Linked DNA regions of Lepisosteus oculatus. The protein of the gene in region 3 purifies or fractionates together with the protein of the main gene of each other region. This does not show direct contact. Links are inferred from orthologs where the notes say so. Each region holds a gene or a part of one and is shown on either strand. Other genes may lie near its edges.

Region 1 (7,870 bases), on a different chromosome or scaffold from region 3:
ACTCTCTCCCAGTGTACCTGCTGCCCACACCCCCCCTCCACACTCTCTCCCAGTGTACCTGCTAGCCGGGCCTCCATGTTCTGTAGCCCCTCCTTCAGCTGCTGATTGGTCGGCTCATACTTCAGCCCCTCCTGATAGGTCAGTTTGGCCTCCTCGAACCGCCCCAGGAACTCCAGGGCAGCCGCCTTCCGCGAATAACCCTGCAGGGGCAGATGGGCGGGGGCGGGGTTACTGCACGTTACTACGGAAACCGCAGCACTGGCGGGAGCAGCCCTGCTCCAGCGCCACAGAAACCCAACAGCACTCCCCCACGCTGGAGACCCCGCAGTGGCGACCAGTCCCGGTCCAGGGGCAAGCCTTTCGAAACGCCCTCGCCGGCCCAGCGGGTTCTGCAGGGCCCGTCGCCTGGGTTCTGGAGTCGCTCGCCTCGCAGGGCCCCGCTGGCCCCGGGCTCCTGCGCACCGCTGTCCGGGGGCCCCCGGTCTTGGGGTTCCCCCCCTGACCGCGTTACACCTCACCCTGAACTCTTCATCCCTCGCCCTCTCCCTGCGCACTGTCCTGCTGTCTCACTGGACGGTCTGTCTGCAAACCCCCAGGGGCGCCTAGAACAGCAATACTGGTCTGTATGAGAGAAAGAATTTGGGAACTGGCCCAGGAGCCCCACCGAGACACGCACTGGACTGCGCACACACACACACGCTGACCGGTCTGTCTGGACTGCGCACACACGCTGACCGGTCTGTCTGGACTGCGCACACACACGCACGCTGACCGGTCTGTCTGGACTGCGCACACACACGCACGCTGACCGGTCTGTCTGGACTGCGCACACACGCTGACCGGTCTGTCTGGACTGCGCACACACACACGCACGCTGACCGGTCTGTCTGGACTGCGCACACACACGCACGCTGACCGGTCTGTCTGGACTGCGCACACACGCTGACCAGTCTGTCTGGACTGCGCACACACGCTGACCAGTCTGTCTGGACTGCGCACACACGCTGACCAGTCTGTCTGGACTGCGCACACACGCTGACCAGTCTGTCTGGACTGCGCACACACGCTGACCAGTCTGTCTGGACTGCGCACACACACACGCACGCTGACCGGTCTGTATGGACCGCACACACACACGCACGCTGACCGGTCTGTATGGACCGCACACACACACACACACCTTGCCCCAGTCCGGCTTGACCTCGACGGTCCTGCAGGCGTCCTGCAGTGCGCTCTGGTAGTCGCCCTTCTTGGCGTGAGCGGCCGAGCGGTTGCTGTACAGGACGTGGTTCCTGGGGTCGAGGGTCAGGGCCTCGCTGTAGCAGCGCACCGCCTGCTCCACGTCCCCCGCGCTCAGGGCCTGGTTGCCTCGATCCTTCAGCTCTGCCACCTGGGGGCAGGGGGAGGGGGACAGAGGGACAGGCAGGGAGATATTATTTTATTTTATCATTATTTTTATCTGCTTTGACAACACCGATCGTACCCATCGGTCATGCTAATAAAGCACCTTGAGTTGAAACTGAATTGAATTGAGAGGGAGAGGGACGGGACAGACCGCAAGAGAGAGGAACAGGGAGAGGGACAGAGAGAGAGGAACAGGGAGAGGGACAGGACAGACCGCAAGAGAGAGGAACAGGGAGAGGGACAGAGAGAGAGGAACAGGGAGAGGGACAGAGAGAGAGGAACAGGGAGAGGGACAGGACAGACCGCAAGAGAGAGGAACAGGGAGAGGGACAGAGAGAGAGGAGCGAGAGGGACAGAGAGAGAGGAACAGGGAGAGGGACAGGACAGACCGCAAGAGAGAGGAACAGGGAGAGGGACAGAGAGAGAGGAACAGGGAGAGGGACAGAGAGAGAGGAACAGGGAGAGGGACAGGACAGACCGCAAGAGAGAGGAACAGGGAGAGGGACAGAGAGAGAGGAGCGAGAGGGACAGAGAGAGAGGAACAGGGAGAGGGACAGGACAGACCGCAAGAGAGAGGAACAGGGAGAGGGACAGAGAGAGGGCGTTGGGGACCGGGAGAGGGACAGAGAGAGAGGAGCGAGAGGGACAGAGAGAGGGCACTGGGGACCGGGAGAGGGACAGGACGGACAGGAACAGAAGGCTATGGACTCTTCACACACGGACACCTACTCCACACTACACAGTGTCCCCGGCCACAGACCCGGATCAGGGAGAGCAACACGCTGGCCAGCCAGGAGGGGGCAAGACAGGACCGGGCAGCAGGAGGGGGGTGTCCGGGGGTCAGCGGGTCAGCAGGACAGGATCTCCCTGACCGGGACCGCTGCAGCCCCGCAGACTGCGACTAAACCCACCGCCCGCGACCTCGGCCTGTTCCAGACCCCCACCACCCTCCGTGTACAGCGGCGCCTCCCGTCCAGCCCGGAGACCGGAGAGCCTCTCGCAGAGACGGTTCTAGAAAGAGGCCGGGAGCTGGGGGGGGGGGCTCCCACCCGCGAAGGAAACGGTCACGGACTCCACACAGCGCATCGCTCCCCCTCCATTCCCGAGACCCCCCACCACCACCACCCAGACGAACGAGGGAATTCGGGGTCACGCCCGACACACTGCACCCCAAATCCACCCCCCACCCGGGACAGAGAAACCCCAAATCAAAACCTGCCCCCGGAAACAGCTCTACACGGCGCTCAACAACACTGTGGAGGGGCCCCTCCTCTCGCGAGCGGACTCGGGGCTCCCCGCCGCCGCCGCCGCCGCAGTGACCCCGGTTTCGGCACCGCGGGGCGGGGGGTCCCCCCTGCCGGGGAGCCAGCACGCCCCCGGACTGCCCCGGGCAGCGGGGCTCACCGCCCCCAGCGACCCGGCGCGCTGCCATCACACGGCTCTTCCAGACGGCGGCCTTTTCGGGCGCCTGATAAGGAAAGAAAAGACACAGAAGGGCGCCCGGCCGCTGGCGAACTCACCTTCTCCATCGCAACAGCCATGAGGTTCCAGAAGCTACTGCGAACTGACAGCCTCCCCGCCCCGCCCTCGCCCTCCTATCATTGGCGCAGGGGAGGCGGGGAGACCGCCCGTGCCGCCATCCCACGGGCTGCCCCGCCCGTCAGTCCGCAGACCCCGGCGCGGCGGATTGGCTGTCGCCCACGTCCTGTCCCGCCTCCCCTTGCCGACGCCGGGCCGGTGCGCTCCCCGCTCCCGAGTGGAGGGCGAGGGCCGTCCGTCAACCCAGGGAGGGGGACGTGATTGGGTCCTGCTGGAGCGGAAAGGGTTGGGATTGGCCGGGCCGGGGGAGACCCGCCCACCTTCTTCTACGCACGGCTATCGGGGGGGGGGGGGCAGCTTGGAAGTTTCTCGACCTATCAGCTGCCAGGGTTCTAGAAAATTCGCACTTTAAAAGGGCGGCTGCGGAGAAACCTCGCTTCTGATTGGTGGGATGGAGCAAGGCACGGTGGAAGTAACCGGCCTTCTCATTGGCTGTCAAGCCTCGGCGACAGGAGGGCGTGTCTGAACGGAGGAAAGATCGGGAATTAACCAGGAAATGTCCGTCTTGCTGTTATAAACTGAAACAATGCGTGTTGTTTACTAAAACCCGTAGGTTTCAGGAGATTGGCTCTGTTGTGGCTCATACCCCACGACTATCCTATCCGTTTCTTAGGGCAGTGGCGTGCGGTGTAGTGAACGCAGGACTAGAAATCGAGATAGGGAATGATTTTGGATAGAGAAATGTGATAAAAACATCCGGGAGATGATGGCTGAGACCATAAACCCCTTAGATCTGGAAGAACGTGGGTTTTGATGATGCACACGACGAGTCTCTTGTTAGACCACGATCTGACTACCTTGCCAAAAACTAAACACACTCATTTTAAAATTCTTCACAAGCACGTATCCTTCTCTGGGAAGGAAATTCCTCAGAAAAAAAGGTTGAAGTTTGACTGACTATTTTCTGTGAGCGTGAAATTGGAACAACTGGAGTCCCATGTCCAGCTTTCTGGCGTTCTGGTTGTTCCTGGTTAAAATGTAAAAACATTTGTATACATTCAACTTACAATGATGTTGTGTTTAGTGTTCTAAGTAAAAATAAAGAAGTGTGAATTTAAATTGTGTAAGTGTAGAGCGCTTTAAACGTCTGTATGCTCTAAAGAATTTATAAATTCAGATAACGTGTATTTATAACAGGTATTCTGAAAATACCCTTGGGAATCTGGTTTGCAGAAACCTGCCTGCATACAAGCTGGTTATTTTATGAGACATCTAAAGCAAGAACTCTAGCTGAGTTGTTATTTATTTGATGTTGTTGTTGTTGATTGCTTACGTGATGTTATGTTGTAAGAAGTGGGAGCACAGCCTGTCCTCTCTGGGCAGCCAGGTCTGCCTGTGTCCAGTGTCTGTGTCCAGGCTGTGGTCACTGAGCCTGTCCTCTCTGGGCAGCCAGGTCTGCCTGTGTCCAGTGTCTGTGTCCAGGCTGTGGTCACTGAGCCTGTCCTCTCTGGGCAGCCAGGTCTGCCTGTATCCAGTGTCTGTGTTCAGGCTGTGGTCACTGAGCCTGTCCTCTCTGGACAGCCAGATCTGCCTGTGTCCAGTGTCTGTGTCCAGGCTGTGGTCACTGAGCCTGTCCTCTCTGGGCAGCCAGGTCTGCCTGTGTCCAGTGTGTGTCCAGGCTGTGGTCACTGAGCCTGTCCTCTCTGGGCAGCCAGGTCTGCCTGTGTCCAGTGTCTGTGTCCAGGCTGTGGTCACTGAGCCTGTCCTCTCTGGGCAGCCAGGTCTGCCTGTGTCCAGTGTCTGTGTCCAGGCTGTGGTCACTGAGCCTGTCCTCTCTGGGCAGCCAGGTCTGCCTGTGTCCAGTGTCTGTGTCCAGGCTATGGTCACTGAGCCTGTCCTCTCTGGGCAGCCAGGTCTGCCTGTATCCAGTGTTTGTGTTCAGGCTGTGGTCACTGAGCCTGTCCTCTCTGGGCAGCCAGATCTGCCTGTGTCCAGTGTCTGTGTCCAGGCTGTGGTCACTGAGCCTGTCCTCTCTGGGCAGCCAGGTCTGCTTGTGTCCAGGCTGTGGTCACTGAGCCTGTCCTCTCTGGACAGCCAGGTCTGCCTGTGTCCAGTTTCTATGGCCAGCCTGTGGCCATTGAGCCTCACCCACATCTCTGACATCTACAGCGGGACTACAATTCCCAGGAAGCGTTGCGGCGCCACCAGCTCCGCGAGTTGACCTTGCGCGACTCTGCTCCTGTTTGAACTCGGTGCGCACGAGAGGCGGGCTGGTCTGAGCAAAGCGAAACCGAATCCCCGGACCCAGGAGCGCCTGTCTGTCAGAACCGAGCACCGCTGCGAGAATGGCGTTTCAAATTTCATCCCTGGCCGCCCGGATCAAGCTCCCCACACTTTCTCTGTCTGTCCCGTCCCGCAGCCGGATCTGGAGTTGGGGGCTCGGTTCCGAGCTGAAACGGGGCTCGGGTTTCGCCGGAATCCGCGCCGAGCCGAGCCGCCGTCAGACTGCAGGGAGGCTGCCAGCGCTGGGTAGACAAGACAGTCAGGCCGGTCGAACTCGGACCGGCGGCGCGTGGCTGGTGTGCCGGGTCTCGGCCCGGTTCGGTGCGGCGCTCGGTGCCGCGGGTCTCGCCTCTCTGCACACCGGACGGGTCTGCGCCATGGCGGCGCGCGGCGGCGGCACCATCGATCTGGACTCGCCGGACGGCGACTGGGAACGAGTCAAAGGTGAGAGTGCGGGTCCGTCCGGAACCAGGGTCCACTGTAGATCAGGGCTGTGTGAGCAGGGGGTCTATGGAGTTAATCACACTTCTGCACACTGGGAGTCTGACAGCACTGTCACACCTGGAGCGGATCAGACTGCTGCGCACTGGGAGTCTGACTGACAGCACTGTCACACCTGGAGCGGATCAGACTGCTGCGCACTGGGAGTCTGACTGACAGCACTGTCACACCTGGAGCGGATCAGACTGCTACACACTGGGAGTCTGACTGACAGCACTGTCACACCTGGAGCGGATCAGACTGCTACACACTGGGAGTCTGACAGCACTGTCACACCTGGAGCGGATCAGACTGCTGCGCACTGGGAGTCTGACTGACAGCACTGTCGCACCTGGAGCGGATCAGACTGCTGCGCACTGGGAGTCTGACTGACAGCACTGTCACACCTGGAGCGGATCAGACTGCTGCACACTGGGAGTCTGACAGCACTGTCACACCTGGAGCGGATCAGACTGCTGCGCACTGGGAGTCTGACAGCACTGTCACACCTGGAGCGGATCAGACTGCTGCGCACTGGGAGTCTGACAGCACTGTCACACCTGGAGCGGATCAGACTGCTGCGCACTGGGAGTCTGACTGACAGCACTGTCACACCTGGAGCGGATCAGACTGCTGCGCACTGGGAGTCTGACTGACAGCCCTGTCACACCTGGAGCGGATCAGACTGCTGCACACTGGGAGTCTGACAGCACTGTCACACCTGGAGCGGATCAGACTGCTGCGCACTGGGAGTCTGACAGACAGCACTGTCACACCTGGAGCGGATCAGACTGCTGCACACTGGGAGTCTGACTGACAGCCCTGTCACACCTGGAGCGGATCAGACTGCTGCGCACTGGGAGTCTGACTGACACACTGTCACACCTGGAGCGGATCAGACTGCTGCGCACTGGGAGTCTGACTGACAGCACTGTCACACCTGGAGCGGATCAGACTGCTGCGCACTGGGAGTCTGACAGCACTGTCACACCTGGAGCGGATCAGACTGCTGCGCACTGGGAGTCTGACTGACAGCACTGTCACACCTGGAGCGGACCAGACAGATCTCCTGTCCCTTCAGCTGTGACTGAGTGTCTCTCTCTCTGTCCAGAGCTCCTGGGCTCTCTCAGCCAGGAGGAGAGGCGCAAGCTCTATCGCACCCCTGACTTCCTGTCCCTGGAGGAGATCCGCACCTGGAAAGCCACAGGTACGCCCAGCCTCACGAGCACCCCTTCCTCTGTACCCCAGGTCTGTCTGCTGTACCCCAGTACTGCCTCTAATGTCATCTGTAACCTAATGCAACCTCCTGCGCCCCAGTATTGTCTGCTATACCCCAGTGTTCTGTACCCCTTAATGCCTATTGTACCCCATTAATATCATCAGTCTCCCACAACATAATACTCTCTTGTGTACCCCAGTACTGTGCACTGTACCCCAGTACTGCCTCTTGTAACCCACTAATGTCATCTGTAACCTAATGCAACCTCCTGCGCCCCAGTATTGTCTGCTATACCCCAGTGTTCTGTACCCCTTAATGCCTCTTGTACCCCATTAATATCATCAGTCTCCCACAACATAATACTCTCTTGTGTACCCCAGTACTGTGCTCTGTACCCCAGTAGTGCCTCTTGTAACCCACTAATGTCATCTGTAACCTAATGCAACCTCCTGCGCCCCAGTATTGTCTGCTATACCCCAGTGTTCTGTACCCCTTAATGCCTATTGTACCCCATTAATATCATCAGTCTCCCACAACATAATACTCTCTTGTGTACCCCAGTACTGTGCTCTGTACCCCAGTAGTGCCTCTTGTAACCCACTAATGTCATCTGTAACCTAATGCAACCTCCTGCGCCCCAGTATTGTCTGCTATACCCCAGTGTTCTGTACCCCTTAATGCTTCTTGTACCCCATTAATATCATCAGTCTCCTACAACATAATACTCTCTTGTGTACCCCAGTACTGTGCTCTGTACCCCACTGGTGCCTCTTGTAACCCACTAATGTCATCTGTTACCTAATACAACCTCCTGCGCCCCAGTATTGTCTGCTATACCCCAGTGTTCTGTATTCCTTAATGCCTCTTGTACCCCATTAATATCATCAGTCTCCCACAACATAATACTCTCTTGTGTACCCCCGTACTGCCTCTTGTACCCCACTA
Region 2 (7,590 bases), on a different chromosome or scaffold from region 3:
GTGATTCTGTCCTATTTCTGCCAATGGAAAAGCATGTTATACTGTAGTTCTCTGGCCTCTGATCTCTAGATGCCCCCAGATCATCCTTCAAATGTCGCAAATTGTTACATTCTTATCTCACAAGAAAGGCGCATTTACATGAGCAATATGAGGCTGCATTACCCAGCAGGAATACTGTCCCATTAGGATAAGGTCCCAAGGCCTGATCAATGTACTGTAGCTCAAAAAAAAATGTACTGTAGCACCATTTAGATGGATTGCCATCAGTCACTATGAGTGGAGTTTAGTAGTGACTAGACACTTGCCCAAACCATCAAACCCAGATCTCTTCACCGCTCTTGGCAAGAAATGTGACTTGTGGTTTCCTTGATCATGGCCTATCATCAATGGACTGTGTTTTTGTTGTATTATCTTGCCAGGATAGAAACCGCTGGCTGTTTGAGGTTTTATTTCTTGATTTTCACCAGGCTCACATACAACAGATTAAATCACCACCTTGCCTTACAGCTATAATGCAAATGATCCCTTTTTATGCAGAGCACAAGATGGAACACAATAAAGACCTATGAATAAAATGTGTTTGATCATATTCCCAAAATTACCCAGGGGTTTAAATTTTCTGAATAAAGGCTTTTTAACAGATTTACAGTAAGTAAAAATATTTTTAACGTGTCATCGGCAGAGTCAAAGAAGAATCTTCTGCCCTCTCTAATCTATCCTTCCCGTGAGAACCCAATCCACATAGAATCACTTTGGTGTGACACTGGTAAAACCCATAAATCTCTAGATGGATTCTATAGCACATGACGCTAGGCTACTGAGGAACTTTAAACTCCCCTACCTTATTTAGTGTTTCACATTAACCATCTTGCACTACTGGACCTTGAACAGTCTGTGGTTTGTTTTCTGGATTTTGTGGCTGATAAATTGATATAGCTGAATGCAGAAGCAGAAGTGAAAATTAAGGAGGTGACTAGAACACATGCAGTCACCTCCTTTGAATAATATAACACCTAACGTCAAACTTAACAGCTATTACACAGTTACAGGAAGTGAAAAGGGTAGAAGAAGCGAAGTAAAGGCCGATGCACTTGATGTGCAAATAAGTTCCATGGGTGACCTCAAATGTCATTATCAGTGCTGTCATGCTGCGCCGCTGGAGCGCCTGCTGTCTTTGACTAGTGCCCTGTGCAGGACAGGAAGCATACCTTGGGGCAAGAACAGCTGGACTGCCCTTTGGTGCCCCATCTCCTCCAGGATCTCCAGCAGATCTCCCACGGTCTTGTTTTTCTGAGCCCAGCTCCACAGCAGCTCCCGGGTTGGGCTTTTGCCCTGCGCACACACCTTCTCCATGTAGCGCACCTCTAGCCAGTCAGGCAAAATACGGGCCGCTAGCAGGCAGTAGAAAAAAACACTTCAGTGGGCCAAAAGGAGCTCGGCGGCAACAGATTCAACACCAGTTACATCAGCCTCACATTTTTGAGAAAACAGGTGATAAAGTTACTGAGCAAGACAAAAAACAGAGAGACAGGTGAGTAGTGTACTACTAATGTACTACTGTACATTAAAACACAATAAAACAATCTTGATTCTGTAAAACAAATATAAAGAAGTTTAATTCTCCTCTCCATACTTTTAATTTGACCAGTCTGTCTCTTTCTTTTAAAATGCAATTTGCGTGGTTCTAAATCTAGTTGTAAAACAGAAACACTGTAGATTAACTGCATTTGCACAATTCTGAATACCCTTTTTCAATTAAGTACATATAACACTTATTTCAAAATCAAAATCCATTTCTACATACAATGCCAAACTACTTTTCTTTTTCAGGTTCATTATGTGTGCCAACTCCAGGACTTTCTAAAATGGGGAAGTTAAATGTTGCTTTATAGGTCTATAGTTATACAGTTTCATGATGAACAAACCTACTTGGTTAAACTTTTCTCCTGTTACACAACATTCACTTTAGTAAAACATTTTCATTGTAACCTTTTTACAAGAAAAATCGTTTCAGTATTTATTTTTGTGGGAAGGCATTTTTATGTTTTATGTTATGAAACTTTTAAAAGTAGAGGAATCTCTACTTTTATCTATCTCTGGCTGCTAGAAAAATAACTGATTTTAGGATATTGTTGTCTACAACATTTATGAAAAGCTCATTCCTAGACAGTAACATTATCAGAAAGCAATTTACTGGAGGTCATTTTGAGCTTCTCAACAATCTACATTATTTATTTACCAAAACAAATGTTTTTTCCAGTAGTGCTACTGTACTTAAAGTCACCATCAAGTAGATAGTCGATAATACTCCTGGGACGAAGTAAAAATGCGAACTGTGCCTTCTTCAGATATAACTGAGGAAATCATGTAGTTGAAAAGTAGAAAGACATAATGTTGTTCATTCTTTTTCATCACACAATTTTATTTTATTTCTAGTCATTGTGTTAGCAGACGTTATTTCTACTCCATCCTATTTTCCTGTTTGCAAGGTGCTGCTGCACGTCTCCCGAGAGTCACGGATAATTACCAGGCAATATTCTCTGGTGACTTACCTAGCCCTCTCCAGCCGAAGTCCCCATCACCGCTGTCGATGATTTTACAGAGCCTCTCCATCACGGATGGGGGGACGTCGAAGAGGAATGTCATACGACTCAAACACTCTGTTTTACCTGCCATTGTATTGCACTGTCAATCTGTTAGGACTGCCGTTCACGTTCAATTTCATAAACACATCCTTTTGAGTAGTACAGTACTCCAGAATAACACGCGTCTCCAGGTCCTGCGCTAACAACAGAAACTTAGAAGTGCCTTAAGCTCCACCTATGAAATGTAAGTAAAACTGCAGCTTAGCTGGTGTTCCAGAAACAAATCGCGGAAACGTATCAGAGATGTACAGCCCAATTATAATTGTAGGAGGTTTACATGGAACTGCTACTGTATCTCATCATCGTTTTGTTATTTTGGTTTATTATATTTGTTATGAAGTCTACATGGAAATCTCCATTTATCTGTTGCCAACGTCCTATTTTAAAATGAAAATATTTCCGCCTTTGTGAAATTGAGCAATAGCGGAACCTCCATTTTGACGTCGATACATTACTCACCCTAAGCTGTCATTCACTGAAAAGCATGAAGTTGCTCCATCAGCTGAGAAGCGAAATCAAGGCTTTAGGAGGCTGGACACTACAATCAAATATGGGATTTTGGTGGAGAATTTATTTTCCTCTCGAAGTGTATCCAAAATTTCTCAACCGATCAGTCTTCTATCATGTATTTTCCAATCGTAAGTAATTTGAGAAGGACGTTATACTGGACCAAAATATCCCAATTAAAGTGAAACACAATCTTTAACCAAAATAAGTCCAATGAGAAAGCATTTCTCATTTTACAATTGACCTCGTTAAATGGTAGTAATGGATTACCTCAGGTGAAATTCGTCTTTTTTACAAAAACACTGATGGTGTCATTTCTCTCTCTCTCTCTCGAACCTACAGGCGGTTCATTTCAGGGGAATACTTGTATTTTTCATAATATATTTGTACACATAACAGTTATGAAGACAATTATTAAAATTGCCAGTACACGTCCTGTTGCATAACAACTGAGAATTTGATCTCAATTGACTTTTCTGGTTGATTAAGTATTTAAATAGAAGTAAATAGATCTAGAGGTCACAACTGAGAATAGGCTGGGAATTTTTCTTTCTGAAATGCTACTACAGTACTGTAATGCAAATACACTACAATAATATTATGTATTGCTCTTTCTCTCTATCGTGTTCATAACAGACATGCTTTTTTGTATTTTTTTTTTCAGAATAAGAATGATCAAGAGTAGTGCAAATGTAGTACTTGAACGAATTGACCAGGGCTCCCATGAGGTGTAGAGGGGTCAAAGCATGAAGGGAAAGTTGACACGCATTTTAAAACAAATAGAAAGTGCTGCGTTAAAGAATCGTGTGCTTAAAAGAAGAAATGGCCAATTGATGACAGTGTCCTGCTACTTTATACCTTTTTTCACGTTTTCTATCAGTGACTTTTCTTATACCCTTGGTCAGCAGAGAAATAAAACGATTTTATCAGCGAAATAGAGGTGTTTTTTTAAGTGACACCAATTGCCACCCTCATTGACGGTGTACAAGATGCACTTAATATTTGTAAAAGGTTCCCGAATGACTGGATGGCCCTGTCAGTTGAAAAGAAGACAAAACAGATCATTTGACAGCAATCACTATGCAGGAAGGTCAGTGGATATAAAGAGCTGATGTAAAACCTCAGCCCAGGGCTGTCCTGTTTTTGTCTTCACTACAGGATCATCAGCAAGGCATGGTAGCTGATTGCCTCCCATTAAATCTGAGAGCCTTATTTGTCATCTAACACATTCTAGGACCTTCAAAGTTAGATAATTCATAATTATATACAGTATGTGTGTATGTCAGGGTCCACACCATTTGCTTTCAAGGGGACATTTGTTAGCTTCAAATGGGGGCTTGCTTATTCAGTGTTTTGATTACTTGCGTATCTAAGACTTATTCCACAAACCACTGGAGTCAGTGACAGTTGTATGAGGCAAGTGGGATTCATTTCTCTTTTCTACATTACTAAAACAAAACTAAATCTTTTCCATAGATCTGTATCCAGGGTTACGAGTTACAAGAAATGGTTAAAAGTTTTATTTACAACTTCAAACTACTTTTATATTTGATCATTGTTTATTCAGGTTAAGTGTATCCCATAAATCATGATCAATCTAGTGAGCAGGAACTCCACAAGAAGATATGGGTTTTACAAGAGTAAAACCTTCAACAAAATATCTGACTACAGATTTCTCTGTACTTTTTGGAATAACTGCTCCATGTAATGGAGGGTAAGGGATCAGGGTTCCCCATCTCATCAATCTGCTCTGTCTGGAGTGGTGCTGAATCTTATCTGTGCTACACTCGTATTCTAGCCTGGGTTACTAATATACTGTATTCCTATTGAAGAAAATGTGTATTGAAGTGTTTAACACATTTTCATTAAACTAGGAGCTATCCTTTTCAAGACAAATAGATTCAAATCACAGAAAATGATAGTAGGCCACTGAGATGACTTTCAGTTTATTCAAGTATAATTTTAAATAAAAATAAAAAGCATCAAAAAATATTTTTCCTTATATTCTCCATAAAGCATGGAACAAGTATTGTTCTAATTTTACCTAATTTCTTACTTTAAAGGACATACAAGACAATATTTGTCCAGGGTTTCATCTTTAAATTAAGCTAGCTTATTTTTTAGATTCATGGATGCTAAGATGTTTTTCCATTCAGGTCTTGGCCTATATAAAGGCCTTGTTTCACCCATATGCTTTGTTGCTAACACACAGAAAACAAAACAAAGGAAATGTTAAAAAAAAAGGGTGGTCATTTGGCATATTTCACACAATTCATTACTAGTAGCTTCAGTTTCCTGTGAGTCAGTGGGTTTCAACAACATGGGTGGGTAGTTTGCCTACTACCTTTTAGAGTACTTTTCAGTGCCTCTGAATTTTCTAACTGCATCTATTTTTAATTTTCACTTTTCACTCTGGCATTTACACTAGTGGTCTTGGGACTTTCACCTGATAAGCAATGTTTGCTGAAAGAGGAGCAGGAAACTCTGGGAGCCACTACCTTTAAGGTCTGTTCATTTTGCAAAGGGAAGCCATGTGAGGACAAAAAAAAATCATTTTTTTTCTTGGTGGTTTCCCTTCCCATTACACTTCCCTTTTATGATACAAAAGGATGACTATCACAGCAAAGACAGAAACAAGACCTTTGACAACACAACTGTCCAAACAGCAATGTAAGCATATTTTTCCAAGAATCAAACATCACTTTTGAAAGAGATTTGACCAAGGGTCTATTTTTGAAAAGATTTAAAAAAAAATCTGCTGTTTTTTAAGTTGACTTAAAATATTGGCTGTCTATGTTTGTAAATATCTACTTATCCCCTCCTTGACTGGCTCTTAGGGGTACCCATGGAATAAGAATTTCCAATGTTTCAAATGATTGCTTCTTTCCATTGTTGGTGTTAGTTATTTAGATGCTGAAAGACTGAAAAGTTACAGTTAAATATTATGCAGCACAGCCCCCTGCTGGAACAGACTAGAAGAACATCAGTTGCCATCTGTGGCACTTCAGCTTCACTTTGACTTGAAGCTGCACAGATCTGCCAGATGATCCAGAATGATTCATTGCTCTAAAATGTAAAATATTATCCTTTTAATTGCATGGAGATAGGGATTTTGAGTTCAAACTGGCACTCCTTCTTTGTCTCAGATGCGACAATGTGTTCAAATCCCCTCTGAAATGAAAATGGACCTGTTAAGAAAACAGACCCAGAACATTTCAGAATACATGACTAAATCCTTTTGATGATTTCTTTGTCTTTCAAGCAGGTTTACACAACGTTCGGAACAGCAATTGCTTTTTGTCCCACTTGAGGCTTATTTTATGTAGTGGTAATGATTGTAATTGCTTGTATTTGAATGATTACACAATACTTGACATACAGGAGGGGGCCCACTTCATCCACCACTGTAGGGCAACATCCATGTGGGTGACACAGGCAGCCATTTTGTGCCAGCAGTTCAGGTGGAGAAGTGAAACATTACTTCACTAGTTAAATTAAGTAGGGAAAGTATGGTCATATGGCAAAATTCTGGTGCCAGGATACCATGATCACATCCCCCACATGAACAGCCCCAGCAATCCGTAGCTCAATGTAATATCTATTCCAAACAATGATACGTCCTACACAATACTGGGACACTGACAGCAACATCTTCCCATCCAGTGCAAGGGGTGTCACTTGTCACATTAAACCTTCACCTTCACCTTGTCACCTTCAACAACAACCTGGCTTTCCTTACAGGTCGTCTGTCTCAGTACTGAGCAGGCTCAACTTGCTTTGTGTCTGAGATCTAACAAGATCAGGCTACAAGATGGTCACGCTGCTGTCATAAGAACATAAGGACGTTTACACACAAATGAAGGTTGTGTGGGCCATCTAGCTCATTTGGTTGCTAGTAACTAAGTGATCCAAGGGTCTCATCCATCTTCCTTTGAGGATTTGGAATGTCTGAATCACTTGCCCTCATAATCTTCTGTGTTTCAAACTAAATTATACACTTATTTTAGCCTGTCATTGGAGTGTAGGGCATTGTATTGAGGCTGGGAATTTATTTACATTTCAATGAATGTACAGATTCGCTCTGTGAATATTATTAATTCATCCATGTTCTAACCACTTCATCCAATTCAGGGTCACAGGACAGCCAGAGCCTATCCTGGCAAGCTACAGGCACAAGGCAGAATACACCTTGGACAGGATGCCAGTCCATCACAGGGCAGACACACAGACATAAACACAGACACACACTCACACCTGCACCGATTTTCCCAGAAGCCAATTAACCTACCAGTATGCCTTTGGATTATGGGAGGAAACTGGAACACCCAGAGGAAACCCATGCAAACACAGGGAGAACATACAAACTCCACATAGATAGCACCTCCCGGTTCAGTATTGAACCCAGGGACGGAGCACAGCGAGGCAGCAATGCTAAGCA
Region 3 (7,977 bases):
ACGCACGCACAGCCCAGCACGATCGCTGCAGCTGCTGAGTCTGAGTCCTGAAACACAGCTGAACGCCGGTTAAGACACGGGAGGACTCAGATCAGCCCGGATTTTAAAACCTGACCTTTCCGGTTCGGGCTGTGACACTCCGATTGAAACCCCTGAGTGTGGCGGAGCAGCGGCTCTGTGGCTCAGGAACCGCGCCTGTGGCTGGAAGGTTGCCGGTTCAAATCCCATGGCCGGCAGAGGATTGGGCCCCTGAGCAAGGCCCTTAACTCCAACTGCCGTATACATGGCTGACCCTGCGCTCTGACCCCCAGCTTCTCTCCCTGTCTGTGTGTCTCCTGGAGAGCAGGGTCAGCAATTCCTAATGTAAGACATTGTCTGTGGTGATCTTATCTTATCTATGTGTGCGTGAGGGGGGGGTACATGGAGGGGGGGAGTGAGAGGGGAGATGTTGAAGCCCTCATCAGTGGCGCTGCGACATTTATTCTCAATCTGCTACAGGAGACATACAGCTTACAAAGTAATATACGTTGTTCTACCAGCCCAATGCAAGATAAACATAGGATCCAGACAAATATCACTGCGTTTATACTGAATTTACACAGCTAGCTCCTCGCAACACTATGGGATGTGGAGGAAAAAGTGTCGTTATGCCTGAGCAAAAGGAATAAAAATAGTCAAACTTTCCCCTAAGGCACAGCCAGGTCCTCTCTCAGGGGCACACAGCACTGACATCACTGCTCCTGAGACAGCGCAGCCACCTGTGTGTTAAAACCAGTCAGCTGACTGCGTGTGAGCCAGTCAGGGGTTCCCCATCCTCGTTCAGAGGACCCCAACACCTGTTTTTGACCAAAGTCAAGATGGAACAAAGCCCACAGACAAACCAGTCCAACAGGACCAGAACTGGACCCCCTGCAGACACACACTGACCCTGCAGAACCAGACTGGACCCCCTGCAGACACACACCGACCTGCAGGACCAGGACTGGACCCCCTGCAGACACACACCGACCTGCAGGACCAGGACTGGACCCCCTGCAGACACACACTGACCCTACAGAACCAGACCGGACCCCCTGCAGACACACACTGACCCTACAGAACCAGACCGGACCCCCTGCAGACACACACTGACCCTACAGAACCAGACCGGACCCCCTGCAGACACACACCGACCCTGCAGGACCAGGACTGGACCCCCTGCAGACACACACTGACCCTACAGAACCAGGACTGGACCCCCTGCAGACACACACTGACCCTACAGAACCAGACTGGACCCCCTGCAGACACACACTGACCCTACAGAACCAGACTGGACCCCCTGCAGACACACACTGACCCTGCAGGACCAGGACTGGACACACCCGCCCTTAATCCTACTCTGGGCTCAGAGCTCACCAGGTCCTCCTGGATGTGTCCACAGGACTGAGAACTGATCAGGGTCACTGACAGGGAAGTGGAAGCCTGCACTGCAACTCCTATCAGGGGCAAAGTGGCAACACCGGGCCTAAAAGAAGACTGCCGCTGCCTCACCCAGACCCCTACGCACTGCTGAACCGTGAGACAGAGCACCAGGGGTGCTGAAGGGCACACTTCCCCTTTCTACCATGTTCAACACCCCGTGTTCATGTCTCGAAACACGGCACCCTGTGACCAGTTCTGCTTCCAGCTCTCTGGGGTGGGGGGAGTGGTCAGCCCTCTCCTCTTTGACCCCGGCAGCCAGGAGCAGGCCTGACTGCAGGAACTGACCTGCAGCTTGTCCATCTCTGCTCAGCCACGGTCATGTAGCCGGGAGGGGACCACTGGCCACAGTGAACATGGACCGGACCGGACTGGACTGGACCAGACCGGAGTGGGATGGATGAGGTGTGGGGGGGGATCTCCACGCAGGCTCCGTGGAATGCGCCACGCTCGGAATGCCAAGAATTCGCGTGGGGAGGGAGGCGAGATGAGCCGGGCCGATGTGGACGGGGCCGGAGCCGGACCCGTCCCGGCCTCAGGGGGAACCGAAGTTCCCTGTAGTGCCACGGGACCGGGGCGCCGGCGAGACGGCAGTTCAGGCCGTGGAGCACCACGCAGTGCCCGGATCGCAAGTGAAAATCAAGGCATGTCACCGGCGCAGCGCTGCAGAGCGCAGAAAGCGCCGCTTCTGACCCGGAGCAGCGCTCTGTAACACACTTGCGCAACCCCTCTAGTCGGGATCTTCAAGTCCCCCAGCCTGAGCTCCGCAGCGCCACGGAAGCTCCCATAACAACAACAACAACAACAACGCGACATCGTATTTTAACATAATTTCTTGTAACTCGGCAATCAATCCGATTTTGCTGCCTTTGAATGCGAGTTTAAGAATGGAAAGTCCACCATACACACTGTACAGACCCCGGTCCTGTTTAACCTGCTGCCCCCCCCCCCCATGATCACTGCAACGGGACCGCCTGGTGTCGTGGACCTGTCCGAAACGGAGCGGTTCGGTTCGGTTCCGTCCCGCCCAGCCCAGCCCAGCCCAGCCCAGCCCGCCACTCTGTCTCACTCCGTGCGCCGCAAGAGCGCACAGCTCAGCCCGGGGGGAAGCCGATTAGACACCGGCCGCTAGCCGGCTAGTCCCGGGACGGACCAACCCCCGCCGGTCCCGCACCGGGACCGCCAGTTCGGACGGGGGCTAACTCACCGAAACGCAGCCAGTCCGATCTGTCGAGGCTGTCCATAACCTTGCAGAACTCGGTCGTGATGTGCGCAGGCAGGCGGTACAGGTACTGCCCCTCGATACTCCCGGCGGACATTTTCGTCTGCTTCGGCTCCGGGCGGTTTCCGGGAGAAGTGGCCAGCGCCTTCCTCGGACTTACAACGGTCCCGTCCAAAACCATCGCTCCGCTGGCGGAGGCGGCGACTCCATCTGCGAGGTTCCACGCTACTGACTCACTTCCCCTTTAAGACTCAGAAGGACTTTTTTTTCTTTCGAAGGGGTTGGTTGGGCTCCGAGGAGGCGGGGAGGACTCCGGAAACGCGCTTCGGAAACCATGGAAACCTGGTCCTGGCCGGAAACGCCATCTTGAGTGTGGCGCACCGGGCACAGGGATACGCGACATCTCAAGGCGCTGCGTTCCCGTCTCGGTCGGTCCTCTCGCAGCTCAATCCCAACCATGACATGTTTACAAACGTACCGCTCTCTCACCCTCAAAAAAATAAAATATATATAGAGAGAGAATCATAGCGGAGAGATTACTAATAATAATGCTGATTTTGAGGCGTGTTCCAGTGGGAAGACATTCGACGTAACACAGTGCTCTCAGGCCCACTGGAATCGTGTTGTGGATTGAAACTGGTGTCGTAAAATACGGAGAACTGCCGCAGACAGATGGGCACCCTGTGCTGTGAAATATCAGTGTTCATTTCAAATATCCGCTTCAGCCTCCACATAGTGTCTGGGTGTGTTGTAACTGTCACCAGCGACCATTTTTGTCACAGGTAATAGTCCAAGTACAACAGTGAGTTAAAATGCCGGTTAAGACTCCAAACTGGGCATGAGATGTATTTCTGCAGGAAGAAACACCAAATTTCCAATTGATCCATCACAAGCTACCTGTTATTATAAAGTGACTCCCATTTCCGAATAACATATATGTCCATTTATTCGGTCTTCTGAGGTGGGGTGGCTTGAACTAGAAATAGCATTTATGTTTTTATTTTTACTCATATTTATGAATATGCTGTAATGCTCCAAAGATTTTATTGTCATTGGAAAAACCACACCTAAAGATAACAACAGTGATATAGCCAGCAGCCATATCACCCTGCAACTCACAACTGGCAACCCACTGAAGCTCAGCAGGTGTGAGCCTGGCCAGTACCTGGATGGGAGACCTCCTGCGAAAAACTAAGGTTGCTGCTGGAAGAGGTGTTAGTGGGGCCAGTAGGGGGCGCTCACCCTAATGCCCCAGTACAGTGATGGGGACACTATACTGTAAACAGGCGCCATCCTTCGGATGAGATGTAAAACCGAGGTCCTGACTCTCTGTGGTCATTAAAAATCCCAGGGTGTTTCTCGAAAAGAGTAAGGGTGTACCCCGGCATCCTGGCCAAATTCCCCCATCGGCCTTTATCAATCATGGCCTCCTAACAATCCCCCTCTATGAACTGGTTTCATTACTATGCTCTCCTCCCCACTGAGAGCTGGTGTGTGGGGAGCGTTCTGGCGCACTATGGCTGCTGTTGCATCATCCAGGTGGGGCTGCACATTGGTGGTGGTGGAGGGGATCCCCATTACCTGTAAAAGCGCTTTGAGTGGAGTGTCCAGAAAAGCGCTATATAAGTGTAAGCAATTATTATTATTATTATAACAAGCTCTCTCGCGCCCCAGAACCATCCACAGAAATGCCGTGATTGATTGATTTGATTTCAGCAAACACTAATTAAATGTTGCAGAGAGTCAAAATATTTGTGAGGTCTCACAGATCATGTCCATACAGATGCCGTCTGTAAAGCAGAAACCATTTTTAGCTCTCAAATCAATTTGTGTTAAGAAACGTTTCATTTAACATCTTTGGAGTGAATTCCACCCCTAAATGCTTTTAAGGAGCAATCAATGGCAATTAGTAATCAGACAGCACAGAAATTCCATTGAGGTCCAGGAATTGGGAATCGGAGACATCAGGAGGGGTACAGCAAAGTAGCTGAGAGTGGAGGAGTAGTAAGGGTTGTGGGTTCGAATCTCATGTGTCTGTCGACGTCAAAGAGCTGTTAACCCCTGGAGAGGAAAACAGAGCAGAAGAAGCAGTGAAGCCGACACAGTCCCCCGGACAGCAGAGCTGACAGGAAATGAAAAATGGCAGAATTCACTTTCAAGTGTGGAGACTCTGCCTCTCATGCTGTACACTGAATCTCCAATACCGAGAACTCCGCAGTACCCCCAGCTTATCATTCTGTTTCTGCTGTTTATGGCAACGTGCACCTTGGACTGTGAAGAGAGCTGATCACGTGCTAAACGTGATACGAGAAAAAAAAAAGAGTGAAGGAATAGCTGGTGGTCCTGTCTGTCATCCGATTTTGGCTGGAAAAACAAATGGGAGAGTCCAGACTGAACTGCGCAGCTGGAGAAGACATGTGGGGGTGCAGCACCTCTGCTTCCGGCCCGACTGCGCTCTGAAGCATGCTGCCAGGGGTGCAAAGAGCTGTTTCCGTGACACAGGGAGAAATGCAGATTTGAGATTAATGCTCTGGCCTCAATCCCATCAAAGCAATCTAGGAATACAGAAGGACGAGCATAGGGAGGGGGTTCAGAAACGGGGATGAGCTGTTTAGGTACCTTGTCCTATAATCATCAGCATTTTCTTCACCCACTTTATATCCAATTCAGGTCGCAATCCGGAGCCTATCCCGGCAGGCAGGTGGCGAAGGCAGGATACACCCTGGATGGGAAGCCAGTTAATTGCTGGGCACACACAGGCACAGACACTCACACCAGGACCTGTTTTCCCAGAAGCCAATTAACCCACCAGCATGTCCCTGGGCTGTGGGAGGACACCAGAGCGCCCGGGGGAAATCCACGCTAACACAGGGAGAACATGCAAACTCCACGCAGACAGCAACCCAAAAATTGAACCCGGAGCCCCAGAGCCGTAGGCAGTAATAACTGCTGTGCCACCATGCCAGCCTCCATGATCACCCATCAATAAAATAATAGACAGGCAGGCTGTCAAAAAAATCCAGGAGCACACGTGCAAAATATGAACCCAACTTCCTATTACATTTAGTCAACACTTTTTGGCGAAACGCGCTTTGCCTTTTCATGATCTCTCTCGCTGTACTGCACTCCAGACCTTTTACCGGCGGGATCCATATATTTTTCATTTATTGATGTACAATGATGCTAAATTAATACAGAGCTAGAAACAACCCAGGATGCAAACCGCATGCTGAAACGGGGTGAGCTCACTGCCAGCCGTGAAGACAGGCAGGGCACAGCACAGAGGGCAGATCGTTACTGCTGTTGCTATTATTACAGCCACGCAGTGTAAAGGCTCATAAGAGAGCATGCTCTTCTGAGAGCGCGAGAGGAACCGCGCAGGGCCTCTGTGCAGCAGAGCTTTCTAAGAAACGGGGATGTAAACTGTCATCCGAGCCGTGTGGGCCGCCTGGAAGCGACCTGAATAGCGGCGCGCTGACAGAGGGGGAGACCGAGCCCCCCCCCTCCCCCCCGCCTCTCTCTCTCCCACCCACTTGAATGGTGTGCTTGTTCTTGCTGCAGCAGCGGCAGCAGTTGAGTCATGCTGAGTGCATCCCGCGCGAACTGCCAAAAGAGCTCGGCGACCCCCCCCGCGCTCTTCGTCACAGGCGCGCTCCGCGGTCTGCAGCAGGAGGGAGGTGGTTGCGTCGTGTGTCGTCCTGACGGTCCTAGGATGTGTCTGTGTGTCAGTGTTGTGAATGTCCGCAGATGTTGCACTGACTCTATCGGCTCCGGCATTTTCTGTCATGGACCGGTCGTGCCAATAAAGCTGTTGCGATTTGAATTTTGCTGCCAGAGTGGCGTGGCGCTGTTTGCGTGCTCTGCCTCGCCCTGTCGAGCAGAAGGGCTGGAGAACGAACCTGAGAACAGGGGTTCGACCCGACTGGCTCACTTGCGGGCCAGCAGTTCATCAATCCGACTCCCCAAAGCAACCAGAAAACTGAAACTGACCCCAGGCTCCTCCCCGCCACCCTGTATTGGATAAGGAGGTCAGAAAATGGAAGGATGGATCTGTAACCTGGTGAAAAATTCCACACAGTGTTCTCAAAGCAGTCTCACTAGTGCCTTGCAAAGGTTTAACGTGACACCTCTCGAGCGTCCCCACATTGCCTAGAAGAAATAAATGATAAGTCAACGTAAATACCCAAGTCTTTCTCATCAGCTTTTTACACGGTTGACCGTGACATCTTACTTCCTCGTCTTGAGACTGTGCTGGGAGTTTCTGACGCTGCTCTCAAAAGGTTCAGGTCTTACCTCACTGATCGCTGTCCCTTTGTCTCTCTTAATGGGCGTAGGTCTGAAATTGGTCTTGTCAAGTCTGGTGTTCCTCAGGGCTCAATACTGGGCCCCTTGCTCTTCAGCATTTACATGTTTCCACTTAGTCAGCTTCTAAGATCACATGGCCTCAGCTTTCATTTCTATGCTGATGATACTCAAATATACATCCATACCACACCTGACACTGATGTGGCTGTCTCTATTCTATCTAATTGCATCTCTGGCATAACAACTTGGATGACTCAAAATTTCCTTCATCTTAACTGTGACAAAACAGAAGTCATGCTTATTGGTACCCCCCATCGACTTCGTAAAGCCAGTCCTGTAACCCTGTCTGTAGATGGCTCTGTACTTGAGCTTCAGTCTAAACTGAAAAACCTTGGGGTGATATTTGATTGTGGTTTAAGATTTGACCCACATGTGCAGCATATTGTCAAAACATATTTTTTCACCTCAGAAATATCACTTGACTACGCCCTATGTTATCACTAACTGTGGCTGAAAAGCTGATGCTCTACTCGCAGGGGTATCAAAATCTACTCTGAGCAAATTTCTGGGCAGCCTGAATCCTGACAAGGTCTAGTGCAAGCGATCACATTACTCCTGTCCTGGAGTCCTTGCACTGGTTTCCCGTCAAAATCTGTGGAGCCTTCTTCTGGCTCAGCGAGTCCTGTTTCGTGTGTAGAGTTTTTTTTTATGCCCTCATGCAGACTTTGCACTTGTCCGCAATAAAAGACTAAGCAATAAATAATACAAGTGTAAGCAATTAATTAAGTTACAGCACCGACAACGACCACTCGGCAGGTCCGCTTCCACACGGCAGCCGTCCACCCACCCACAGGCCGGGGACAGCACGGGCTCTGAGGGCTGAGTCCGCCCGCTTTGCCTGCAGAGCTAGAGGAGAGGTCGCGAAAGACCCGTGTTTTCATGTCCCTTCGCACAGCGGTGAAGTCAGTGGCGAGCCGGCCGAGCCTGAG
Region 4 (7,945 bases), on a different chromosome or scaffold from region 3:
TCTGCACAGGCTCCCTCTCTACCACACACGCACACACACACGCACACACAGAGACACACGCACACACAGAGACACACGCACACACAGAGACACACGCACACACAGAGACACACACACACACACACACAGAGACACACACACACACGCACACACGCACACACAGAGACACACACACACACACGCACACACAGAGACACACACACACACGCACACACAGAGACACACACACAGAGACACACACACACACACACAGAGACACGCACAGAGACACACGCACGCACACACAGAGACACACACACACACACACACACACACACACACACACACACACACAGAGAGAGACAGGCCTTGCAGGCTCCCTTCCACTCTGAAGCAATGACCTGCACAAATTGAAATTGATCTGCTGGTTAATTACCACATGGAAGACAAGGGTTGTGGAGGGGAGGAGATGGGGCAGATGGGTTTAAAGGTCTGTGAAGTGTGGGCAGCTGTGGACAATGGGAGGGAGCGAAGTGGGAGCTTGTTCTAACAATAACCCTGAAGATATTTTCAGCTTAATATAGGAAGAGACAAATTGTGTCACAGTTTTTAAAAGGGAGGATCTTCATGAAGGGAGAAGCGCAGAACGTATTCTGATCAATGAGGACCTTTTACTTATGTATCTGACCTCATTATGCACTCAGATGAACTGATATATCTATCCCCATGCATAAAGGGGGGGATTTTTTTTTTTTACAAAAGAACTTTGAAACATGCCCTGCTGAAAACCTGCTCTCCAGCTGGACCGGAACGGAGCACCGTGCAATGTGTCACTGACAGTGAAGAGATGTGCTTTACCTGCAGCAAACCTCACCGTCTCAGAGTACGGGCAGCAGATCCTGATCATCTACCCATGCTGTACGCATCAGTGTCTTACCACAGGCAGCAGATCCTGATCATCTACCCATGCTGTACGCATCAGTGTCTTACCACAGGCAGCAGATCCTGATCATCTACCCATGCTGTACGCATCAGTGTCTTACCACAGGCAGCAGATCCTGATCATCTACCCATGCTGTACGCATCAGTGTCTTACCACAGGCATCAGATAATGATCATCTACCCATGCTGTACGCATCAGTGTCTTACCACAGGCAGCAGATCCCGGTCTATGCATGGTTTTTATTCTAGCTGAGCCATCAGTTAATGAATTTAAGTGATTTATTTATTCATTCTTTTGGGATGTTAATAGTTGGTCATCATTTCCAGACACCTACAAGATTTTATCACTACCTTGACACCTTTACTTTTTAGGACCCAAAAACTAGAAGAGAAAACCCAAGAACCCTTATGAGGTTTCATTTCAGTTATAGCTCAAGCTGAAGTGTAATACAGAAAGGCAGTGGGGTCCTGAGGAGCAGATTTGGGCATCCCTGCTGTAGATGTACATGTTCAGGGGTAACCACAGGCTGGGAAGTAATAGTGACATGTGACACTATTTTCCAATTGAAATCTGGAATCATGCTCTCTTTCCAATTATGCCCTGGGAAAACAGTCAGGTCAATGATGCTTACTGATGCCTGGACCTACACTATCCGGTTAAAATAACTGAACCTTTTTTAGTTTTGAACAGAGATCTGTATTCAAATTCACCGAAGGCTCTGACAAAGTCAGTCCAGAAACAACAGTGAAAGAGGGAAAGAGGAACCAGAGGTTAGAATGTGGAAGCGCATTTAAAGGGGTTTGAAAACAGGAACAGGGTGCGCTTCTGTGTGCAAATAGCTGTGGGAGTTTTGAACAAGCTACCCAGCAGTGCCGACTGGATCAGGTCCTTGGATCAATTAGCTACTAACTACAGATTACCTCGATGGGCTAAATGACCTCCTTTCATTCGTAGATTTTCTTACAATTTTAAGACGTGTCAGAGCTGGAAAGAGTATTTCTGTCAGTGTTTTTAGATTACATTAATCTTATCAAATCTAGTATCTGTATCCACCTTTCTGTAATTGTTTTTAAGAAACGGGACAACCATACCCAAAACAGGAGAAGCCTTTAATACTTGGCCGGGGCTGCATCAGGCTCAGTCTGCGCTCTGGCTAGGATGTGTCATCAGTGGCTTCTGCCATTATAAAAGGCTCACTGGCTTCGTTGAAGAAGCAGCCCAGGACCGGGCGGAGTGCGACTGCGCATGTGAGGGAGTGCGAGGGGCTTCACGTGGGTGGAGAGCAGGGGGCCGTGGGGAGGGGGAAGTCAGGGTGGGGCTTCTGGCTTTGTGCTTGTGACAGACCTGCTGACTGAGAGAGAGAGAGAGAGAGAGAGAGTTTCAGCAGCCCTCAGCCCAGCATCTGTCCTCCGCCCACTTACTCCTCTCCTCCCTGTACCGGGACTCAATCACAAACATTCCCGTGCCGGACCTTTTCTGTCGCCGCTCCAGTGTTATGGAATGCCCTTCCTTGGACTCTACGAGACAAAGACTTTGACTCTCTTCCAATCCAAACTCAAAACGCACTTTGTGTTTTACTTGTTTTCCCCCCATTCTGTATCAACATGTATGCTCGTTTTTCCTTTTTTTTTTTAAAGCTCACTTTTATTAGCCCTACACAATTTCTTGTATTAGGAATTTGTCTTATTGCAGACCCCAGCTTGCTCTCCATGAGACCCACAGACGGGGAGAGAAGCTTGGGGTCAGAGTGCAGGATCAGCCATTTATACGGCGCCCCTGGAGCAGTTGGGGTTGAGGGGCCTCGCTCAGGGGCCCAATGGAGCAGGATTCCTCTGTGGGCCACGGGATCCGAACCAGCAACCTTCCAGCCACAGGTGCAGGTCCTTAGCCACAGAGCCACCGCTCCGCCCCAGTTTTACCACTATGTACATCATGCTTGGAAAGGTGCTTTATAAATATAACCTATTACTATCACTCCTTTCACCCCAGACTCGCGGCCCAAAAAGAAACAAGAGCATGAGAACAGTTGCATACGACAAGGATGATGTCTGGCAGGCACGCCGTACCTGTGGGGAGTTAGTAACACATTGATCCAGCCGTTTCTCACAGGAATCCAGGGCATCAGCTTCAACCACATGGCTGAGCGGCCCGTCCCAGACTCCCGCCACTCTCTGTGTCAGGAAAGTGTCTCCTGCCCCCACATTTAAGTGCACGTCCTCTCAGTTTGCACTGCGAACCCTGTTCTCCTGTTCCACTGCTGGATCCGAAGCTTGAGGATTGTGATCACCAGCGCCTGGTGGCTCTTTGTTAGGCTGATTTCAGGGCAGCATATTTTTTTTTTAACATCACGACAATAATTGGACACATTTTTGCTTTATTGCATCTTACAGTTTAAACAACATCACTTGATTACAATTCTGCGTTTCAACTGCGTTTTTATATGCGCACATTCTGTTGGTGCTTTTTCTTGCTGTCCCACGTCGTCAAGATGGTGAAAATGATTTCTTTTGAAGGCATTCCTCAGTGCTTAGTGCCCCCGTCTTACATTAATAGTTTATGCATCTGCTGCCTCCAACCTCTTGTTGTGACTGTTTTTTCCTGGTTAGTCTCTTTCACTAGAAAGCCTCCACACACCTGGAAACCTTGAACACACAAAGCTTCTTATAACAGATTTGGTTGTTTTAATGTGTGTATGGTGCCATGTTCTTCAACAGCACAGCTCATCTCCCGACAGGCAGGCTAGGCTGATAATGATCACGCCGCTCTGCTTGCTCCTAAACGGGCCATTAGTTCTCCTCATTCAGCAAGGGCGTTTTATTTATTCTGATACACTGAAAGTCCATAAGCAGGTTTTGTGATTTTTAGCATAAAAAAAACATGTCACGATCTCCTCTGTAAATTGACAACAGCTTTTGCAGTGTGCACGGGGTGCCGGATTTAATGTTATCTTAGTCGCAAAATGCCTTAAAAACTATCGGTCCCATCCTATCCAAGTACATTGTCTCCAATTCCGTCTTCTTTTATTTCTTTGGGTAATAAAAATATTATTAGAAACTTTTTTTTCTTGCTGATCGAGACCAGGTTAATCTCCGGTCCACAGGACATTCAAGCGATTTAAGGTATTCTTTTAGCTCAGGGTGTTTTTCCTGTTTTATACCTGTTAACTGTACCTTCACAGGATTTCATTCAGCAAAATCTCACAGCACCACTGTGGCCCCGCCCCCCGTTTGAATGGTATAGTCCAATAACAGGCTGGAGTACTGGAGACACCCCTCCTGACACACCCAGGTGGTCACACCCACTCCTAAGAAGCAAGACTAAGCTTCAAACCAAAACTCCTTTCGCGCTACAAGTCACTGATCTAAATAAATATTTTCAATTTTAAGCACCCCCCCCCCCCCCCCGCTCCCTATTTATTTCCTTCAATACTCTCGCAGGGCTCTGTCTTTTTTTTTTTTTACAACTACCTCAATGAATCCTAACTGTTGTCCTACTTCACTAATGTAAACCATACGTTCTCTGCTGGGCTAGGCTTGATAGACCCCCTTCACCTGTGAAGCCGCTGTATTGCCAGTTCTCTTCGAATAAAATAACCCGGCAGAAAAATAAACGGCTTAGAATATTTTAAATTTCCCACATGACAGAGGGCAAGAGGTTTATCTCTTTAAGAATCCCCTCTCTTTTACTCTTTGTTTACATAACAGCAGGGACCAACCTCGCACCAAGAGTCAAGAATGTGGAGAACTAGAGGGGGGGTTAAGGCAAAAGAAAACCCCATATTGCGTTGCGTATAACTAATAACGGAGAAAAGACGTATAATTATGAGAAATAATGCTGCTTTAAATATAAAACACTCTATACGAAGGCGCGTTTTGGGGAAACGTCATTGTTCAAATGAAAGCCTGCTCACGCTTTCTCCCCCTCCGTGAGCAAGGTGTGGTCGATGGTACATCCCGCCCCTGCTCTGGGCTGTTTTTGTGTCGCTGTTTCAGAGCCCATCCAGCGGCCAAGTGGAGAAGTACGCGGTGTAGTGGAGGCACTTCAAAACAAAAGTTTCTCCCTCGTTTTAGACGTTAAGCAGACGGGAGCAGAGCCGGCCGACTCACCGGAGAAACACCTCTCGGCGGACGCGGCGGCAGCTACACGTGACAGATGGCTCTAACCCACTCGTTGTGAAGGGTTTCCCTGCTCTCTCTGTGTGTGTATGTGTTTCCCCCCGCCAGCGGTGAGGACGACTGGTTTTTGTGAGCTGCGTAGTTTGCAAAAGCCTGATGTTTTCGCCGAACCAGGAGGAGAACTGCGCCCCCATTAAGGAACCGGTGAAGTACGGGGAGCTCGTCGTGCTGGGGTGAGTGGGGAAAAGACGGTTACAAGGTGGGGGATCCGTCGGCTTGCGGTGCTCCCGAACTTGGGAGAGGATACGTGCCGTACACATCACTCACTTGTACAGGACTCTTCCGCGCTGCGAGGACACAAACTCGGACCTGTTCGCGCATCCTAGCCACGTACCTGTCATCGCTGACAGGGCGCCTCTCGTCGCGACGTCTTCCCCCGGAGGTTAGTTGTCTGTTTTCGGGCAGTTCGAGGCAGAACAGTTGCCGGAGAAGAAAACAATCGCCTAGCGCGACCGACACGGGCGTCCCCCGTTCAGCCCTAAAAGCCATCTGGAGCGGCTGTCCGGGCGGCGAGCGAGGGGGGGGGGGCTCTTCTTTGGCATGTTCGGCCGCGAATAAAACGAACAAAAAAAAACCCCAAACAAACAGAAAAACAAAGAAACCGTTACCGGTTCAGTAAGCGGCTGGCGCTTCTGATTTCCTCGGTGGGTTAAACGAGGGGAGGGGGAGGAAACGCGGTTGGGGAATGTCCTCTGGAAATGTGCTCCCCAACGCACATTCCCGGGAATCGGGCAAGTCCCAGTTCGTGGGCGATCCGTTTGGAGCGGCAGGCGAGGCGTGCAGAAGTCGAGGATATTTTTTCTTTTTAGAGAGGCGCACACGTCGCGGTCCCAGATATTTCCGAAGCTGTTGGGCTGGTTGCGTGCGGATCGGGTCTTTCGCGGCGTGGATGTAGGTTACAGTAGTTGGTGAGGGAGAGATGGGGGGAGGGGTTGGGAAAAGTCTTAGCTACTGTACTAATCGCGGGATTTCTTTTCGTGAGCTACCTCGCTTGACCGTGTTTCTCTCCCCTCCCCAACCCGCTTTCCAGCGGTGGGTTATTGTGCCACGCCGTGTGCTTTCGAGCCCTCGCAGCCGGGATGTTAGTTTGCGAAGTGACCAAGTTCGCTATCCCTAACGTGGTGATGTGGAGGAATAGGCATCTCCCACATGAGGCGTCCCACATGATCGAGCTACCGCTGGGCCAGATTGGAGCAGCTCAGTTGAATCGAAAGTTCATGCCCTGTGGCCCTTATCCGATGTGTTAACCCCCCCGCCCTTATCGCATCGCTTTCGCGGTTATGTTGAAGTAGCACTTGGTATGAGGTGTGAACGCGGTGCCCTGGATACAAACGGCTGCAGATGAGCGGTGCAAAAAGGCCACCGACCCCCCCCATTACGACGCGTCCGGTGGTTCAGTGAGCTCAGGTCTAGCCGATGTGGAGGAGTTTGCGGGCCGGCCTCGATCCCTGGCGGGCTGAGGGTGCTGTGCAGGTCGGCGGCGACCGCACGGGCCGGGAGAAGAGCGGTCACGTGGAGCAGGCTCGCTCCAGAGCGAGCCGAGGTGATTCATACATGATAATTATCGCCAGATTATGCAAGCCCTAGGATGTTCCCGAAGAGCGCTAATGTGCTTCCTTTCCCGGGGATTAACATTTTCGGGGGATTTGATGCGAGTTTTAATTTTAGCACCAACCACCCTTCCTCCCTCTCTCCCCCTAACGAGACTAGGAAATGATTTGTCGTTCATTCCCACGCCGCGGTCCCGTCCGGCACCCAGACAGTTCGAAGTTGGCTCCTGTCGGTGTGCCACCAGCGGGATGTATTACTCATCTCTTTTCACGGTGTCTGTCTCCTCTTAATACAACTAGACAGAGCCGTGTGCGCTTGTTTTGTCTGTTCCCTGTCTTGTTATCCTAGAAATCAGGAAGCGCGGTTCTCTTCTATTTTTAGTGCACTCGGTACTCGGGAGTATGATTATCGGAGTCACTTTTAATGAGAGCGGGTAGACCAGCCTCACTGAAAACAGACAGCGGGGGGTTAGTTGTGAAGCCTGGTTTCTGAGACAGCCGGCTTTGCTCCTTGTCGTCTGACGAATCTAGTGCTCTCGCCTTAGATCGGCTGTTCTTTACCACAAGGGCATCACGCCTGATTTAAGATCTCTCGCAGAGAACTTCTTTTACGAGCTGGGGTGACCTCATTAACACATCAATGGGTAATAAACGATCATGTAAAGGAGTCCCACTTCTGCTGGGACAGTAATCTGCTAACGTGTTAAGATAACCTTTTGGTGAAGACGTGTCTCGGCTTGCGCAGAGTTTGTGATTGACCCACAACTCTTGTTAAGTGCCTGCTTTCCAGTTTTGACCTATTGAATTTAATTATCTGGGATGTATATTTTGGACCCATGAATTCCTATTGAAACTGGGCCTTTCAGTTTTAAAAAGATGATTTAATGTGATAATGTACATGAAGTGTGTCTTATCTGTGTGTGTGGTAGGAGTGTTAAAATTTCTTAAAATAAACCTGGAAATATGCTCACTCTGTCTACTCATAATGAACTTTCAGAATGAGTACAAGCTAAAACAAGAGCACTCTGCTAGATTAATCTAACTTTTGACCTATTTTGACTGTATTCATAAGGGGAGCCCAGTTTGTAGAATTGCTTGGCTTTCCATAGTGCCTGAAAACGTAAAACCCAAACTAAACCTTATGCAATTGGGTTTTTTAAAAAGGAAGTTCACAAGCACCGTGTACTCATGGGTTTGAAATGAAAGATTTAGTAGGGAATGCAATAATGCATTCAACAGTTTTGATAGCGTTGAATGCCTCATGAACCTAGTACAGGGGGCATGGGTTAAAAGCACTT

What was found.
Region 1: the proteins of irak1 (region 3) and stip1 purify together in Homo sapiens (affinity purification with mass spectrometry; 3 studies listed by BioGRID and IntAct, with this or other methods). This does not show direct contact. The link is inferred for Lepisosteus oculatus from reciprocal best matches to the Homo sapiens genes IRAK1 and STIP1.
Region 2: the proteins of irak1 (region 3) and irak3 purify together in Homo sapiens (co-immunoprecipitation; 3 studies listed by BioGRID and IntAct, with this or other methods). This does not show direct contact. The link is inferred for Lepisosteus oculatus from reciprocal best matches to the Homo sapiens genes IRAK1 and IRAK3.
Region 4: the proteins of irak1 (region 3) and peli2 purify together in Homo sapiens (affinity purification with western blotting; 7 studies listed by BioGRID and IntAct, with this or other methods). This does not show direct contact. The link is inferred for Lepisosteus oculatus from reciprocal best matches to the Homo sapiens genes IRAK1 and PELI2.

Annotation. Positions count from the first base shown.
Region 1 is NC_090713.1:22,892,623-22,900,492, reverse strand, and holds the start of stip1 (stress-induced-phosphoprotein 1), read right to left. Parts: upstream 3,040-7,870; 5' UTR 2,946-3,039; coding exon 2,925-2,945; intron 1,391-2,924; coding exon 1,181-1,390; intron 201-1,180; coding exon 59-200; intron 1-58. Other genes in the region: ADP-ribose glycohydrolase MACROD1, read left to right, coding at 5,289-5,670, 6,818-6,913. UniProt on the Homo sapiens protein: Acts as a co-chaperone for HSP90AA1. Mediates the association of the molecular chaperones HSPA8/HSC70 and HSP90.
Region 2 is NC_090702.1:24,395,200-24,402,789, forward strand, and holds the start of irak3 (interleukin-1 receptor-associated kinase 3), read right to left. Parts: upstream 3,029-7,590; 5' UTR 2,677-3,028; coding exon 2,553-2,676; intron 1,392-2,552; coding exon 1,209-1,391; intron 1-1,208. UniProt on the Homo sapiens protein: Putative inactive protein kinase which regulates signaling downstream of immune receptors including IL1R and Toll-like receptors.
Region 3 is NC_090697.1:75,465,899-75,473,875, forward strand, and holds the start of irak1 (interleukin-1 receptor-associated kinase 1), read right to left. Parts: upstream 3,002-7,977; 5' UTR 2,865-3,001; coding exon 2,669-2,864; intron 1-2,668.
Region 4 is NC_090703.1:10,179,947-10,187,891, reverse strand, and holds the start of peli2 (E3 ubiquitin-protein ligase pellino homolog 2), read left to right. Parts: upstream 1-4,901; 5' UTR 4,902-5,193; coding exon 5,194-5,270; intron 5,271-7,945. UniProt on the Homo sapiens protein: E3 ubiquitin ligase catalyzing the covalent attachment of ubiquitin moieties onto substrate proteins. Involved in the TLR and IL-1 signaling pathways via interaction with the complex containing IRAK kinases and TRAF6.